Drosophila melanogaster: one gene and its partner. The protein of the gene in region 2 purifies or fractionates together with the protein of the main gene of each other region. This does not show direct contact. Each region holds a gene or a part of one and is shown on either strand. Other genes may lie near its edges. The genes, in order: CCT7 and viaf.

Region 1 (7,202 bases), on a different chromosome or scaffold from region 2:
CTTTTCGTAGATGTAGGAAGCTCTGGCCACCTCCTCGCCACTTTGACGTAGTCGGTTGACCCGTAGGTAGCTGTCCCTCGTGTTTTTCCAACGTTTGAGCAGTGTTTTAACTGGAATTGGAAGTTATGTATGATATAGACTCAAAAAGGTAGCCACCACCTACCTATTTCCTGCTTCTCCGGCTCGCTGGAGTCGTCAAAATTCGAGCAAAGCTCGTGGCCAATTTGCTGCCAGGCCTCATCTCTGAGTTCGCGGTTATGGAAGTTTGGGTGGCTTCGTTCCCATATAATAGAACGTTTGTGTACCGCGTCAATGAACTCGTACATCGAATAGCGCAAATTGCTTCCTGCCGATCGAAGAACTTTATGATTGCCCATTATTTATTGTTTATTTAAGGGTTGGATTGGATTGACAATATGTTGCTTGCGTTTAACAGCACCACGGGCAGCTGCTTAACAGCACTCCCCGCAGAGTTGCCACCTCGCCCCGCATTTAAACTAAAAACGTTCTGATGTTATGAAAATACAAATTTCAATTTTGTGTTTTATTATTAAACATATACAGATAGGTCAGTGGATTATTGTTGCTGTTGTTCTTGCTTCGAAGCGTGCGAAATGCGAAGGTATGACCGAGTAATACGTGTACGTGTTAAATTAGGAGAGAAATGCAAGTGAGTTTTGATGATTAGGGTGTAGTGTTCTCTGGATTTCTGAATGATTCTATTTACATGGGCCTGCCCATTCCGCGGCCCATTCCCATGCCACCGCCGGCCATCGGGGGTTCTCCGGCCTTGGGACTCTTTATTGTCTCATCGACGGAAAGGATCATGCAGGCTGCCTCGGCGGCCGCCGTCAGTGCATTGATCTTAATGATGGACGGCTCCCAGACGCACTGCTCATAGTTGTCCGAAATGTCTTCCTTGTTGATGTCGACGCCGTACCACTGTCCTCCTGTAAAAAGGTAAATGTATAAAATTATAATAATTATTAATTAGAGTTCAAAATTACACGACCGATTTGAATTCGCCAACGATTTTTGCAGGTAACATTTCGTTCAGGTGGCAACGCCGCTTACAGCCCGCGCAATAAACGAATTGAGAAGGTGCGAAAGAGCACAACATACAGCACATGTGACTCGAGTGAGAGAGGACGAGTGACAGTGAGGTCGAAGAAAAACACGCGTTGCTGCGGCTAAAATTTCCTCTGTATTTACATTATTTGGAAGAGAAAACGCAGCCAAACGAAATGTCCAGCTCCGGAAGAAAGCGCAAGCAGCAACTTAAGCCGCGTCAGGACGATCACCGGTCGCCGGTGAAGCGACGCAGTGTGGACATCAAGTCGGAACCCTTGGACGGCTATCCGGCGCTAGCAGACTACGATTTAAGTACGGCCGATATCAAGCCGGATCTCACTGAACTCCAATTGCAGCTGGTGGCGGAGCAGCAGGCGGCCAGCAACACCATTCGCTTGGAATTGGAACAGCAAGAGAGTGATTCCGACGAGGATGGCTACTCAGAGCTCGATTACCAAGCTGAAGATGTCTTCTGTCAGGGTAAGAAGGGTGCTCCTCCCGTCATTTCAAGACCCCACTTATAAAATTATCCTTTTTAAACCCAGACGATATGGATGACTACGATCCAGATTGGTCCAGCCAGCAGACGGGTTCCCGACTGCTCTTCAAATTTCCCATCCAGCAGAGTGGCCTGAAATTCGGACAACGCTTCCAGGGACCACAGCACTACTTCAACCAAGTGCTGGGAAATCGCTCCAAGTTCTTCAGTTCCCTGGCCCAAAGCTGCAACCTAAAGGGAGGAGAGCTCAAGTCCAATCCCACAACTGCCGAAGAAATGGAAATCTTTATGGCGCTTTCCCTGCTTATGTGTGACCTGAAGCTGGAGCACCTATCGGATTACTGGAGCACTAACATGTTTTACGGTCTCGTCGGATTCTCTGGGAAGATTCCTCTGGAACGGTATCAGCAGCTGCTGCACTGCCTTAACTTTGATGCACCGCAGCTACAAGCGGGCAGAGCCAAAGTGAAGAACTCTCTACTGCTAGACTTTATCAACGAGCGTATGGAAGAGATATACATTTGTGGCCAGCAACTGGTGCTCAATGAACCTATCACTCTGTGGAAGGGTGCATTAAGATACCAGGATGAACTTCCAAACAAATTCCGCACCAACGCACTACTGCTGCATATGCTAACTGAGCAGAGCGGTTTGGTGGTGAAGATTCTACCGGAGATTGTGCGGAAGGAAGACGCACCGGCATGGGTACGCAATTCCCGGCAGTTGGTGGAGCACCGAAACAAGATTGTCCTGAAACTAATGGAGGGTTACCATGGAGGACGCACTGTGTACACCTCAAAGTTCTATGGAAGCTACGGCCTGGCTCAGGAGTTGGCCAAGAAAAGCACCTATTGCACTGGTCTGCTGGACAGGAATAGATATGGCAACAGTAAGGCACTGGTGCACCAGCGGTTGGATTCCAACAGCATCTCCACCAGCTATGCCACTTCTCTGATGATGGCCAAATGGCGACGACGGGCAAAGAGCTTGTACTGCTTCAGCTCTGACTGCTTGGCCATTTATTCCAAGGAGATGGCCATGCAAAAGACAAATGCAAAACCTAAGTTGATCCAGGAGCTCGAGTTTCAACTACGACCTGGAAACGACGGTCGCCACCACCTGATCCACTACCAAGCTGCCTGCAAGGAGCTGAAGGCAAACATAAAGTTGACCATTTTCCTACTCAACATCCTCGTGTACAATGCCTATTTGCTATACTTTGCTAATGGCCAGAATGCGCGAGTCGGACATCTTAAAAGTTACTCGGAGTTCCGGGTGATCATCATAAAGTCGCTTCTAAGAGAAGAAGTGACGAACGAACCGGTAACTAGTATCCAGAAGCCAGAGACATATGAACGGTCAAAGAACAAGCCGGTGCCCGAGCCCAGGTTGAAGACCATTCTACACGAACCCATGCTTATCCAGCAGAACGGGAAGCCGGCCAAGAAAAACTGCCGCTATTGCCACAAAGGCGGAATGCTGCAGTTCAGCAGGTACATGTGCAACACCTGTCCCGATAAGCCGGGTCTATGCCAGGAACCCTGCTTCCTTCTCTGGCATGAGCAGCTCAAAAAAGTAATCAGACAGACAATTGGACGAAGTGAATAAAAATGGATTATCATTCGTTAAGAGGAACAAATGTTTTTTGTTTAAAGTTTCACACACAAGTTCTTTAAAATAAAAACTTATCCTTCCCCCTTTCAAATATAAATTTCAAATTCACTCATCGTTAAGGTGGCTTTGTATGGACAAATACCATTGGACACTCACCCTGGGCGTGCTTCTGGCGCAACTTGTTGAGAATGTTGGTGGCATCGAAACCGGCGTTGTCGCACAGCTGGCGAGGAATGATCTCCAGGCCCTTGGCGATGGCAGCAATCAGCAGCTGCTCCTTACCGGCAATGGTGCGCGAATAGTCCCGCAGCAGCTTGGACAACTCCATTTCAATGGCACCGCCGCCGGCCACAACGGAATCGTGCTTGATGGTGCGCCGCACGATCATAATTGCGTCGTGGAGGGATCGCTCAGTCTCCTCCAGAAACTGTTCGGCACCGCCACGCAGAATAAGGGTGCTCGTCTTGGCATTGGGGCAGCCTATTTAAAATGGAAAATAACAAGTGGTTGTTAAAACGAGTCCTTCAATTAAGTATACGAATAAGATTCTTACCTTGGAAGAGGTTGAAACGTTCGCCGCCCACTTGGCGCTCCTCGAAATGTTCGCACAGGCCGAGTACATTGGGCTTAATGTCGTTGGCCGTCGTCATTACGGCTCCACCGCAAGCCTTCATGGTGCGCTTAAGATCTTCTTCGGGAACGCGGCCGGCGCAGAATATGTCGCGGTCGGCGAAATACTGTGTGGCCACATCACCGATGGGCAGCTTGGAGAGGACAACATTGGCGCCGGACTCGTGGATCTTAGCCAGCTTGTTGTAGAGGATCTGCCACTCGGCGTCGACCACCTTTTGGTACTCCTTGACGTTGTCTACGCGGATCTCGGCGTTATCGCGCTCAGCCTTAAGCTCCAATTCGATGTTGAGCAGGGCAATTTTGCAGTTGTCATAGGATTTGGGGGCCATTTCAAAGCCGGCATAGGAAAAGGTCTTCTTGAAGGCCACACCCGACACTAGCTGTGACTCCTCCAGCGAGCCACCGGTCACCTTCTTAATTCCAATCATGTTGAGGGGCAGCAGCTCATCCAGGGAGAGCACAGCATCGACTACAATGCGGGAGAAGAAGTCCTTCTGCTGGTGAATCAACTTGGAGGACATGGCAGTGGCTGCGCACTTCTCAAGGAGAGCACGCTGCTGGTCCTTGGACTGTTCGACAATTTGGACGGCCATTTCGTTGATCTTTTCCATGCAGAGCTGCAGGGCCTTGCGGATGGCCTTAATGATGACTCGTGGGTGCACTCCCTCCTCCACGAAGGGTTTCACCTGCTTAAGGAACTCGCCGGCCAGCAGAACCACGGACGTGGTGCCGTCACCCACCTGAAGGAGAAGTCGAATCAAAGCTTTAGCAGTGTCACGTGCGTCTCAGGGGTGCCAATCACTTACCTCGGCGTCTTGTGACTTGGCAATGTCCACCAGGGTCTTGGCCGCCGGGTGGATGATCTCCAGCAGCTTCATGATGGTGGCTCCATCGTTGGAAATCGTCGCCTTGCCGTGGGCATCCACAATCAGCTTGTCCATGCCGCGGGGACCCAGAGTGGTCCGCACTGCGTCCACGATCGACTGGCAGGCATTGATGTTGGACACCAGTTGCGGCTTGCCCTGCGACGAGTCAGTGCCTTCTTTGAGGAGCACGATTTGCGGTTGCTGCGGATCATACGGATATAAGGCGAATATATAGTAAAAGTCTCCAATTAGTCAGCAGATGTCGTCGGCTTGCGAGAAGCTTCTTTGCAGGTTATGTTTACAATCTCATGCCGCTCGCGGACGAGTCCATGATTGGGATTCACTTGGTTAGCCTCGGATTATTTCCAGCCGGACTTACCATATTTATGTGATGGGGTTGGCCTTTAGCACGTATTACAGTTTAAAACAATAAAGTTCCTAGCAGACAGGCGGCAACTTGCTTTTCGTTCACGTTTTCCGCGATGAGTAATGGGCCAATCGATTAATCGTTGTTATTTTGTATTTAATCGATGCTTGCAGCCAGTGTGAACGTTTGGGGACTTAGTCGCACTTTACAATGAAATTTGAAATCCTAACTCATAAAAAACTATCTATTTATTTCTATCTTGCGATTTTTTAACTTTATGGTACAAAGCTAGTTTCCACACTTTTTGATGAACATTTTAAACTAATATGATATGCAGCTGGTAGTTGTTATCGAAAAAGTTATCGATGGCTCCATGACGTCACTCTTGACCGGCGAGCGGTTTTTTGAAATTGCTCCCAACTTCAAATATAGATTTGTGATTCCTTCTATTTATATAAATTTGGCGATGCACGCACGCATGTCGCTTATTCCATTTTAGAAAGTGCGCCGCATCTTCAGTTTGTTCCTACCGCTCAACTTGAGTGAGTTGTGCACCGAGCAGCAATTAAATGAAAAATAGAAGAGTCATTTGAAAGGCCAAAACGCCAGAACATTCAACCGCAAATAGGTTTAAATGAAAGAAAGCATTCTAAATCTAATTCGGTCATGTGGAATTGGAATTTTAGTTGCCCAAGACTCCTCTTAACGACGACATCGAACCACAAGGGATGCCAATGGATACTAACCGGATACTAGACAATTGCCGAGTGATTATGAAACAAATCAGGATGCTGAACCGACTATGAAAAATGCAAATAGTGAGTAAGAAAAAGAAAAGTGAAGTGGGGCTCCCACACGATAAGGCACTCAAATCAAAGTGCAAAGTTTGTTCCCCTTTTGTGCTTTTATTTAGATTTCCCCTGTGTTGACTGACTGGAATCGGAATGTGTTCTAATTGTGTCCATCATTCATCGCGTCGTTAAGGCGATTGTCAAATTTGTATGTGATTTGTGAAGATTCTTCAGCTGTTGGGGATTATAGACATAAAGATATTCATACGCAATACGTTTGGCATTTAAATCGAAATTAAAAGTATGAAATTTTAATTGCCATAAAAAGACTATAAAAAAGTTGAGCAACTTAAATGTTTTGCAAGTATGTTTATTACCAAATTTATTTACTTCTGGTCTAAACATATAATAATAGATGCACGTTTCAACAGCTTTAATGTCACGTCTTCAGATTGCTCTTAAACTTAAACTAGCACAAATGCTTTGTGCTGATATATGTTTGAGCAACGCGCCTTAATCATGCGGAAGTACTTATAACAATGTTTACACAGATATAACAATTTAACTGAATTTTATCATTACTTTATCAAACTTATACCGAATTAATATCCAATCAACCTGAAGTTCCGATATCTTTTATTTCACTGTTTGTTATTTTGACCAATTTCGTGGCGGGTTGTGTGCATATTTTGGTTATTAATAAACACGCGACTGGTTTTTTTTTGTTATGAAGTCGGGAACCGGGAGGAAAACATCTTCGGCTTTCAATAGATGGGCTCTTCCGGCTTCACGTCGGCCATTCTTCGGGGCACGCACACAGACCCGAGCTTTGCCACCCCATAACCCCAAGAAGTGCATGAATAAATGGCAAAGCTCCTTTTAATTAAATGGAAATGGAGGCAAATGTGAAAGAGCTTGCGAAAGCTCGAGAGGCCGAGTTAGTCAATCGGTGTCCGGCCGAAACGAAAGATCTCTGCTATCGCCGAGCAACGAAATTTACCTAGTATAGAACACTTCTTTTAATTTACAATTCAAATTGATTGCAACTAATTAGGATACTCCCCAAACGAACCGAACATAACTCACTTCTATTCCGACGAACTTGTGTAACTTAATTGATATAATTTCGAACTTCCTGTACGAACTGTGTGAATATATTTGAACAAAAATATATCATACTTTGCTTAACAATTGTCGAAGAAGTGCTCCACATACCGACGATATTCTACTTGGTCTGTGCGCGAAAAAAGTTGATTGAAAATTAACGTATTGACGTCATTACACTGCAAGAAACAGTGGCAAGCAGGCAGTAAATAAACTGTTTACATTACAACATCGTCGGTCGACTTAGTGAGTGAGTG
Region 2 (3,661 bases):
TATTATAACGGCCAAATCGAAAATATTTGAGATCAACAACGTAAACGAGGTGGCCAAGGTGTGTACTTAATCGAAGTAGTTCAGACGCAAGAGAAGGCTGATGATTAATTCCAAAATACTCCTCTGATAGGTGTGTATGCTGTACGAATCTACCAGTTCCAACAATCCCAAGTTCTATCTGCTAGAGCTGAGCACCCTGAGCTGGCAGTTTTTGGCGGACACCTTTAGTGAATACCTTCGGATGGCCATCGCGCACTTGGGACTGCCGTACTGGGAGCTGTGCTTCTCCACCTGTGGCCTGCCCTCTTGGACAGAGCAGCTGTTTCTTTTGCTAGCACCTCATCTTCTCGAGGAGCACGAGCCACGACGTGGACGAGTACTGAATCCCGCTTGCGAGCATCCGTACAATATCATTGATCCGAACATTTTTCGGGGTAAACCAAAAAGCGTGGCAAAAGCAACGGCTACCAGCACCAAACAAAATCATAAATAGTGACTTTCTGTAGAAAAGTAAACAATTTATTTATGAGGGTACATAAATGCCAAAAAACAATGAAATGAAAACGTGCAAGGGAAATTCCTGAGGACTGGTTAATATATAAATCAATAACGTTCGCTCTCAACGGCGGATGTTTACGTTTCAAACTGCGTTTAAATGTTTGATTTGTTAGTTAAGTGAATCCGCAAAAAAAGATCCGCTTGCCGGTTTTGGATTGGGCTTTACTTGATGATTCATCCTAAAAATATTTACCCACCCCACTGAACTTAAAGTTGGATGAGGGCTATGCTTTGGCTATGACTCAGTAGAAGTCCGAGCTTTTGTCTTCGAGATCGGCAAGCATCTTGTCCCTGATCTGCGGCCGTGGATCCTCCGTGATCTCGGTGGGCACTGCTCCCGCCTGACCCAGCATAAACTCCAGCTCCTCAGCGGTCAACTTGTCGCCGCGCAGCTCCAGTGGGCCTATGTACTGCTTGCGCAGCGCACCCTCGTGGTAGATAAAGATGGTGGGCAGGTTCTTCTCGGGGAAGTTTGGTATGCAGGTGGTGGCAACGGAGCGCACGAACTTGGTCTGTGGAAAGCGGACGGCCAGCTGCTGCATGTGATGGTGGATCAGTGCGCACAGCGGTACGCCGTTGGCATACAGGTGGAGTACCACCCAGATGCCCTCGCCGGCCTTGGTTACCTCGTTGACATAATCCTGTCCTGAGATCTCGCGCACTGATCCAAATCGCGCCTTTTCAGCGGTGGCCCTCATCTCGGCGATGCGTCGCTGGCGATACTGCTCTAGAACAGCCTCGTCCTCGGAATCCTCCAGTTCGTCGAGTTCGTCCAGCGACATGTCGTCGATCTTCTTGTCGCGCTGGCCTTCATTCAGTGGCAGATCTGTGCGCCGCTGGATGGCATCGTCCATCAGCTTCTGGATCTGATCCTCTGTGATCTCCGCCTCCTTCGCCTTGGGCCCAATTATTCCCTTGGCTCGGAGCACATCATTCCACTCGGTATCTTCGTTTGGGTCCTATGGACAACAAGGCCACGTGAGTTTCATTTCATTCATGATTTTCAATACCAAATATGGGGTTTATTTTTGGATGCACCAAAACACACCCACCATTACCATTTATCGAAATGGAAAAACCTTATTGTTCGGATAATAAATATAATTTGCTTATAACAGTCCATCTTACCTGCATGTTTTTTGATTATAGTTCGATGAAATAAATTACTTAAAAATATAAAATTCTTGATCGCGTGCAGCGCTTTTATAAACTAAAAATAAAACTGAATTATTCTACACGAAGTGACTCATGACCAGGGATGGAGCGAATACCGATACATCGTACGCGCACAGTCACTTAGAGATGATAGGGAAGCGATACCTTACATACGTTTGAATTAAATATTAAATATTAAATATTAAATATGGTAAGACATACATAAATAAGCACATTTATTTATAAATTCGAATCAACAGTTTCAAGAAATCATGTCGACATTGGTTTCATTACAATATTTAATACGTACATTCTACTTTAGAGACAATTGTCTCTTTTAAAAGTTTTTCTTAAATATTAAACAGAAATCTATTAATGATATGGATAAATATTCAAAACAGTTTTTTCGGCATTTAATACGAGTTCAATTAAAACACTATTAGATGTTACTAATTAAATTATTTTCTTTTAATTTGAGCCGGTTATTTGAAAATTAATATTAACTTACAACACAACAAAACTGTTAACCGAAACTAAAGAAATAGTACTAAGAAATAAATGCCTTTAAAGCTGATTTTCTTCACCGAAGCTTTACATTTAGGAGACGCCATGCATGCATAAATATTTTTTAAAATGTTCTAAGCTCAGCTTAATGGCAAGATAAATTCCCTATCTAACAATTATTGGCTAGCACTTTTTGTCCTCCATTGAGGAACCAGTATGGTTCCCAGATACCTTGTAATAGTGGTTAAAGTTAATAATACAAATCAGGTCACCGATTTCCTCCTGGTAACCAGAAGCGGCCGCCTTGTTGCCCAAATAGATGAGATACTGCAAGAATTTCTCGAACTCAGCCTCTTCCTGCTGCAGACGTTTGAAGCGGGGGTGCACAAAGTAATTATCTTGATCCACAATAAAGGACTGCGACTGAATGACTCTGAAAAACATTTAAATTAAAGAATAAAATGAATCAGCAGACTATTTAAGACGTAAACTCACTTGCAAAAGCGTAGTATAATCACTAGGATATTATCAATGGTTTCCTTTACTTTCGCACTGCGTCGATTTAGCAGTGCTAGGAAGGCTACCCGCTTTAAGTAGGCAACATGCTGCTTGTACAACGCCTCAATGGAATCGGCTGTGCACAACTCCTCCTTGAAGCTCTTCCAGGTGGACAACAGGGCCTTGGCCACCAGATGCGTTTGAAACGAGGTCATGAAGTGCGACATCTTGTGGCGCATCATCTGCATGTGTCGGAAATGAGTACATGTCCGAAGTTCCGGTCCCAGAAGCTTGCCCATTTGCTGCAGATACTCGTAGGTTCCATCCAGCACGAAACTAACGTGACGAAGCTTCAGCAGATACCCGAAGATCTGGCCATATTTTGAAATCGTCTCCGAGCTGATCACCATGTTTAAAGGCCAATCAATCTTGCAGTTCAGCTTTAGCATAGAAGTGGCTTCCACGGACAGGAAGTTGAGCGTATCCGGGATGGTGGTACAATTGAGGGTAAGGTTCTCCGATACCGTCGTTTCATCCGCCGAACAAGCCGCCAGCGCATTGGTTAAAATGGTGTCAAGGATGCCCTTCTGGCTGAGACTTCGTGGCCCAACGCCCGCCCTTATTCTTCCTAGAATTTCGTTCGTGAGTGTAGCTCCAAATTGACCGTCCACCAGGAAAAAGTAGTTTCTGAGCTTGCGGAAATGCTCGTAGATACGCTGCTCCTGGAATATTCTCAGCACTTCATTTCGGAGCAGTCCGTAGTATGCGTTAAGGGGCGCCATTACGGAGAGCTGCAGGCAGCGGCGGGCCATAAACGGATTGCAAGCCTCGGGCAAAGTGCTAACTTTATCTCTGTCCTGTTCCGTCTCCCTTTCATCTTTCATTCCAAAATCCAGTTTCGGCAATAAGCTAGTTGGTTTAGCAATTGCAAGAACGGGCTTTGGCA

What was found.
Region 1: the proteins of viaf (region 2) and CCT7 purify together in Drosophila melanogaster (affinity purification with mass spectrometry, with the first as the bait; one large-scale study listed by BioGRID). This does not show direct contact.

Annotation. Positions count from the first base shown.
Region 1 is NT_033777.3:8,799,541-8,806,742, reverse strand, and holds CCT7 (chaperonin containing TCP1 subunit 7), read right to left. Parts: upstream 5,180-7,202; 5' UTR 5,066-5,179; coding exon 5,063-5,065; intron 4,885-5,062; coding exon 4,624-4,884; intron 4,558-4,623; coding exon 3,738-4,557; intron 3,665-3,737; coding exon 3,341-3,664; intron 3,273-3,340; exon of another isoform or gene 3,179-3,272; coding exon of another isoform or gene 1,617-3,178; intron 1,552-1,616; coding exon of another isoform or gene 1,245-1,551; exon of another isoform or gene 1,042-1,244; intron 961-1,041; exon of another isoform or gene 951-960; coding exon 724-950; 3' UTR 509-723; downstream 1-508. Other genes in the region: hng2 (hinge2), read right to left, coding at 1-110, 164-377; CG9839 (uncharacterized protein), read left to right, coding at 1,245-1,551, 1,617-3,178.
Region 2 is NT_037436.4:11,991,353-11,995,013, forward strand, and holds viaf (viral IAP-associated factor), read right to left. Parts: upstream 1,828-3,661; 5' UTR 1,693-1,827; coding exon 1,687-1,692; intron 1,518-1,686; coding exon 801-1,517; 3' UTR 501-800; downstream 1-500. Other genes in the region: CG6931 (uncharacterized protein), read left to right, coding at 1-58, 131-493; Grip163, read right to left, coding at 2,401-2,650, 2,713-3,661. UniProt on the Drosophila melanogaster protein: Modulates the activation of caspases during apoptosis.